Sus scrofa: one gene and its partner. The protein of the gene in region 1 purifies or fractionates together with the protein of each later gene. This does not show direct contact. Links are inferred from orthologs where the notes say so. Each region holds a gene or a part of one and is shown in the gene's direction. Other genes may lie near its edges. The genes, in order: SLX4 and PGAM5.

Region 1 (3,813 bases):
GTTGCCGTGAGCTGTGGTGCAGGTTGCAGATGCGGCTCGGACCCTGTGTTGCTGTGGCTGTGATGTAGGCTGGCAGCTGCAGCTCCGATTTCACCCCTATTCTGGGAACCTCCATATGCCACGGGTGCAGCCCTAAAAAGATGAAAAAGACCAGGATTGACAGAACATTGTAAATCAACTATAATGGGAAAAAAAACTAAAAAAAAAAAGTCCAGGACATCCGTCCTTTAAAATTCCCACTTCCTGGGCTTGCTTGTTTCCTCCTGGTGTCACGTAAGCCCTTCTTGCAGGGTAGTGCCCTGTCCTGCACATCCCAATGCCCAGGAGACTCACAGTGTCAGGCGGTGCTACTCTTTATCCTCTAAACAAGAGGAATCCTCCTCCCTGTGAAAATACAAGGAAAAGAAAGAGGAAGAAACCATATCGCCAGACCCACAGCTGGTAAATGCTCAGCCTCTTGCTGCTGTGCTTGCAGATTTTACCTCAGGATTACTGAGGATCCTCAGGCGACCCCCAAGGTTCACACAGGTGACAGCAGTGTGACATCTGCCATGGAGTCAGTCCTCAGGCCACCAAGGGGTACAGAGGCGTCACCCAGCCAGTGCATGAGCCCAGCACCAGGCTTCCATGCCACCCAGTTGTTCCCATAAACCTTCCCATCACACCCAGTAATACTCAGGAAAGAGAAACCACTTATTTGTGTTTTTTCGGGGTGGGGGGTTGTTTCTTTTTTTGCTTTTTAGGGCTGCACCCACAGCATAAGGAGGTTCCCAGGCGAGGGGTCCAATCAGAGCTACAGCTGCTGGTCTACACCACAGCCACAGCCATGCAGGATCCAAGCCACGTCTGTGACCTGCACCACAGCTCATGGCAACGCCAGGTCCTTAACCCACTGAGTGAGGCAAGGGATCGAACTCAAAACCTCATGATTCCTAGTCAGATTCATTTCCTCTGCGCCACAACAGCAACTCCCATTTATTTGTTTTTTTTTTTTTTAATGTACATATATATATATACATAGATAGGACCAAAATGAAGTATGCTGCTTTTACAAAGTTCTCAGGGCATATCCCTTGTGAGTGTCAAAGGTCTGCTCCAGCAACGTCAGGTGCAACAGAGGGCCGCCGCAGTGGGCACGGCCACTTGGGAGCCACCTCACGATCAGAATCAGTCCATCCTCTGCTGATGCTGAGAAGAGGCCTCTGCTTTTTATATCGAGTGCGGCACCTCACTCTGAGCTGGTCGAGCTTTGAAGAGAAACCTTAATAGGCTGGTTGGGACTGGAGCCCTGCTGACCGGGAATGCTCGGGTTGCTGACTTGAGCAGAAACAGGAAGTGAAAGGCAAGGCAAGTTTTTCAGGACCTTGATGCTCAGAGGCTGGTCCTGGACCAGCAGCAGCAGCTCTGCCTTGCAGGTGTCAGAATGCAGACTCTGAGGCTCCACCGAGACCACCCAAGTGCCAGCCTGCGGACCTGCATTTTGCGAGCTTCCTGGAGGTCCTTATGCTGTTAAAGTTCTGAGGACCACCTCCCTGCCCCCCCCGCCCCACTGCCTAGTGTCAGGACTTCCAGACGGGGCTGCACCTGCGGCTGAGCAGTGCTGGGTCTGCCTTCCTCACGCTCCGCCTGGTGTCTGTGTTCCAAGAGGTCTGAGGAGGAGCGGTCCTCACGGGTCCCTGTGCTTCTCCACAGGGTCTGGGCCTGGGCTCCCTGCCACAGACAGCAACACTGCTGTGCCCCTGATCCTCCAGCAGGAGTTTGGGCAGGAACCGGCACCTACACGAGATGACAGCCTGGAGGACAAGGGGTTGTTCTTTTGCCAGATCTGTCAAAAGAATCTCTCGGCCATGAACGTGACACGGAGGGAGCAGCATGTGAACCGGTAGGAGCAGCCTGGCCATCACCCGTCTGTGGCCACCTCTCCCATGGTTGTGACCAGCCTCGGGCCCCTGGGCTGTGGTGGGAATCTTGAGACACTCTGGTGTGACAGCAGCACCTCAGTGTTGGTGTGAAGCTAAAATTGCTTCTCTTTGGAGTTCCCATCGTGGCACAGTGGAAATGAATCCGACTCGTAGCCATGAGGATGCGGGTTTGATCCCTGGCCTCACTCAGTGGGTTAAGGACCCGGCGTTGCTGTGAGCCGTGGTGTGGGTCGCAGACGAGGCTCGGATATGGTTGCTATGGCTGTGGTGCAGGCCGGCAGCTACAGCTCCCATTCAACCCCTCCGTCAGGGAACTTCCATATGCTGTGAACAGTGCAGCTGTGTTACTTAGTGTATTCACAGAGTTGTGCAGCCATCACCCCCAAAATAGCAGGCCCATTAACAGGCACCCCCATTTCCCTCTTTTTCTCAGCCACTGGCAACCACTAACCTGCTGTCTGTCTCTGTGGATTTGCTTGTTCCGGACATAAGCGGACTCACAACATGTGGCCTTTGTGTCTGGCTTCCTTCCCTCAGCAGAGCGTTTTCAGGGTCCGCCCGTCCGTGCTTTTTTCCTTTGGGGGTCGGATGACACTCCACTGTCTGGAGGGGCTTTGTCTTGCTTATCCATTCGCCCACTTGTGGACCTGTGGGTTGTCTCCTCCTGGATCTGCCTGAGGACCTCCTCAGCTGGTGGGGTATCCACTCCGGAGCGGAGCTGCGGGTCACACGGTGCCTCTGATACACCCTTGCTTTCCTCAGACGCTGCTGCTAACAGAAGCCTAAGTTCAGTGTCTGAGGCGGAGGGCAGGCTGCCTGGAGGGAAAGGGCAGGCTGCCTGGAGGGAAGGCACCTTGGCCCGTGCTGTGCGTCGTGGATCCAGAGCAGGATCCACCCCCAGGGGGGCGGGGCTTCTACCTTTACTGTCTTCCTCCAGGTGCCTGGATGAGGCTGAAAAGGCCCTGAGGCCGTCCGTACCTCAGGTGCCCGAGTGCCCGATCTGTGGCAAGCCGTTCCTCCGCCCGAAGAGCCGGCTCAGCCACCTGAAGCAGTGTGCCGCGAGGATGGAGGTTGGCCCGCAGCTCCTGCTCCAGGCCGTGCGGCTGCAGACAGCTCAGCCTGAGGGGGCCTCCAGCACTCCCGCGCCGAGGTGAGTCAGGGGCAAAGAAGAAACGTACTCTGACTGGTTTAAAAAAGCCTGTGGAAGTGCTGGAGGCCAGCAGCTCTCTGCTTCTGAAGATGAAACATCTCAGGAGGAAACCGGGCCTAGGCTTCACAGGAACTGGGGAGGAGAGAGAGCTCCATCCTCGGAGGCTTTGAAAGGGACCCGTTGGATTGGACTGGTTTCCTCAAGGTCCTTCCCCACAGGCTGAGCAGCTAGGAATTCGGCGGTTTTCCTCCCCGTGCCCACTGTGGGTGGGGGGCAGCATGGCTTCCAGCTCAGTGTAGTCCGATTTTCATACCATTAATTTAAGACTACTCAGCATAGGAATTCCTGTCGTGGCTCAGTGGTTAACGAATCCCACTAGGAACCATAAGGTTGCAGGTTCAATCCCTGGCCTTGCTCAGTGGGTTAGGGATCCGGCGTTGCCGTGAGCTGTGGTGTAGGTCGCAGACACGGCTCAGATCCCGAGTTGCTGTGACTGTGGCCTAGGCCGGTGGCTACAGCTCCAACTGGACCCCTAGCCTGGGGACCTCCATATGCCACGGGAGCAACCCAAGAAATGGCAAAAAGACAAAAAAAAAAAAAAAGATTTCTCAGCACAGTTCAACTTGGTGAGACAGAAGCTTAAGCCTTTTAAATTTGCATGAAATAAATGCTTAAGTGTTTAAATAGAAGGCCTTGCTGATAACCAGAAACAAGTGCTCTGTGTGCAAACCATGGCACATG
Region 2 (2,948 bases), on another chromosome or scaffold:
TCTTCCTGTTACTTGCTTCTGTCCTCTCCGTGTCACTGGTTGCCTTGCTGTGACTGTCAGTCTCCTCCCAAGGACATGAGTGGCACAGGGGCTTTGATTGTTCTGTTTGCTCCAGTGGCCCAGAGAAGGCCTGGTGCTGAGTTCTGGGATGTGTGGCATGTGCTCAGGGCAGGGGTGGAGTACGGAGGCCTTTGCTTTTGTGCTTTCTCAAGATGGGAAACCCCTCTGTCAGAAAGACTGTCTCTCCTATTTCAACATTAGGCGAGAACCTCTATCCCTGGTCAATCTGCGGAAGAGGAACCTTGAACCCGGAGAAGAAGAGCTGGCGTCCAGGCTGGACCACTACAAAGCCAAGGCCACTCGGCACATCTTCCTCATCAGGCACTCCCAGTACCATGTGGACGCCTCCCTGGAGAAGGACCGCACGCTGACACCCCTGGGTAAGTGGCTGGGCCTCTTTGGACCTGTGTCAGGGGCTCTTGCCCAGATGTGGGCGTTGTCATCACCAGTAATTAGCAGGCAGAACTGACACAAGGCAGGCTCTGAAAACGTCATCAATTTTATTTAATTTTTTGCTTTTTCAGCCCCCACTAGTTGCATATGGAAGTTCCCAGGCTAGGAGTCAAGTCGGAGCTGCAGCTGCCAGTCTACGCCACAGAGCAGCACAGGATCCGGGCTGCATCTGCGGCCTATGCCACAGCTCATGGCGACGCCGGACCCCTTAATCCAGTGAGCAAGGCCAGGGATCAAACGTGTGTCTTCATGGATACTATTTGGATTCATTATTGCGGAGCCATGAGGGGAACTCCCTGCTTATTTTTTATTTATTGTTGTGGTCACTGTTTTTAACGTTTTTCCTGTGTGGAGCCGAAGGTGGCTGCTCTGTTTCCTTGGTTTTACCTGTTGAAAGCTTGGTCCCCTAGTTAGGCCTGAGCCATGGGAGGGGCTGCCTGTCTTGCCCCCACCCCCAGTGGGACTGAAGTATTTGTGAGGCAGACAAAGAGTGGCCCCAGTAACATGTGATCCTTGGTGTATTTCACCCTCCAGGTCGTGAGCAGGCTGAGCTAACTGGTCTCCGTCTTGCAAGCTTGGGGTTGAAATTTAATAAAATCGTCCATTCCTCCATGACCCGCGCCATAGAAACCACTGACATCATCAGCAAACACCTGCCAGGTGAGTGCCAGGCGCTCTCAGGTGCCTGGCAGTGGGGAGGGCAGGCAGCTTCTCCTGGTGCCACTGAGCCCTGTGCCTCTCCACAGGCGTCTGCAGGGTCAGCACAGACCTGCTCAGGGAGGGCGCCCCCATCGAGCCCGATCCCCCAGTGTCTCACTGGAAGCCAGAGGCTGTGGTAAGAACTCCCCGGGGCAGGCAGCCCCTCTGCTGTGCCCAGACTCGGGGCCCTCCTTTCCTGATGCCCGCGAGGCCTCCATCCGCACAAGTCCTCTCTCTGCCCCCAGCAGTATTACGAAGATGGCGCGAGGATCGAGGCTGCCTTCCGGAACTACATCCACCGGGCTGATGCCAAGCAGCAGGAGGACAGTTATGAGATCTTCATCTGCCACGCCAATGTCATCCGTTACATCGTGTGCCGGTGAGGGTCCTGGGGTCACGCAGCCCGTTTTCCCTCCTTGTACCCCAATGCTCTCCACAGGCTGAGTTGGTTGTCTGGTAGAACGGCCTTCAATTTGCTTTTCTCAGGACCAAGTGTTTTTGGTAGGAACAGACCAGACTGATGTGCCCTGGTGGGCCACTTTCCCAGCGGTGCTGATGGGGCCGCTCAGCTCAGGCGCCGTGTTCTGGGTCCTTGCACCATGAGGTTGCACTTTTATTTTATTTTAATTTTTATTTTTTTCTTTTTGCCTTTTCTAGGGCTGCTTCCGTGGCATATGGAGATTCCCAGGCTAGGGGTCCAATCGGAGCCTGTGCCAGAGCCACAGCAACGCAGGATCCTTAACCCACTGAGCAAGGCCAGGAATCAAACCTGCAACCTCATGGTTCCTAGTTGGATTCGTTAACCACTGCGCCACGACGAGAACTCCGAGGTTGCGCTTTTTAGGAGGCAACGCTGACACCCCAGATTTAACTCCCATGGGCTTTAGCACCTGTCACTAGGTGCTGCCACTACAGTTGTTGGGTAGTTTTTACTTAGTGGTTTTGTGTTTTTCTCTATATATTTATTTTTGGCCACATCTGCAGCATGTTGAAGTTCCCAGGCCAGGGATCGAACCTGAGCCACAGAATTGACAACCCACTGCACCGCCAGGGAACTCCCTCCCTTTATTAATTGGAATTATTTGCAATCGTCGGCTCATGGGTTTGTTTCAGGCTGGGTTGTTTGTAATCTGACCACATTAGTCATTTGGCTGCTCCAGTGTTGGATGGTGTAAGCTCTCCAGGGGCTCCTGTGTCCTTGGCCCTGATCACTTTCTTACTTCCTGGCACCACAGAGAGTTCCAGGGCCCTCATAAGTGACCCCCGCCCTGAGCCACAGCCCCAAGTCACAGAGAGCCCTGCACATGGAGGGCCAGCTGAGTGCTTCTGTATTTGCCCAAATCCTACTTAGTGCAAGATTTGGAGTAACTGGAACCCTGCCTCCCCCTGGACCCGCTGCAAAGTGTTTGGTGGTAGCTGTGGGGGTCGCCCTTCTCACTTGGGGCCATTTGCCCTCAGGTGTCACACTCATGGCCCTGGGGAGAAGCCTGGCGGCTGGGAGGAAGGGTCAGCTTGAGGCAGGCCTGGGTGACACCTACATCACTAGATGGCGCCACCAGTGCTGAAGACAGGCCAGAAATGGCTGGGACTTGGAAGAATGGTGCCTGTGCTGAAAACAGGGCTGCTGGGGAGTTCCCATTGTGGCTTAGCAGTAATGAGCCCAACTAGTATCCATGAGGACATGGGTTTGCTCCCTGGCCTTACTCAGTGGGTTAAGGATCCAGCGTTGCCATGAG

The links.
Region 2: the proteins of SLX4 (region 1) and PGAM5 purify together in Homo sapiens (affinity purification with mass spectrometry; 4 studies listed by BioGRID and IntAct, with this or other methods). This does not show direct contact. The link is inferred for Sus scrofa from reciprocal best matches to the Homo sapiens genes SLX4 and PGAM5.

What each region holds. Positions count from the first base shown.
Region 1 is NC_010445.4:38,653,167-38,656,979, forward strand, and holds part of SLX4 (structure-specific endonuclease subunit SLX4), read left to right. Parts: intron 1-945; exon of another isoform or gene 946-1,692; coding exon 1,693-1,882; exon of another isoform or gene 1,883-2,859; coding exon 2,860-3,072; exon of another isoform or gene 3,073-3,813. UniProt on the Homo sapiens protein: Regulatory subunit that interacts with and increases the activity of different structure-specific endonucleases.
Region 2 is NC_010456.5:22,775,186-22,778,133, reverse strand, and holds part of PGAM5 (serine/threonine-protein phosphatase PGAM5, mitochondrial), read left to right. Parts: intron 1-261; coding exon 262-440; intron 441-1,047; coding exon 1,048-1,173; intron 1,174-1,259; coding exon 1,260-1,348; intron 1,349-1,457; coding exon 1,458-1,591; intron 1,592-2,948. UniProt on the Homo sapiens protein: Mitochondrial serine/threonine phosphatase that dephosphorylates various substrates and thus plays a role in different biological processes including cellular senescence or mitophagy. Modulates cellular senescence by regulating mitochondrial dynamics.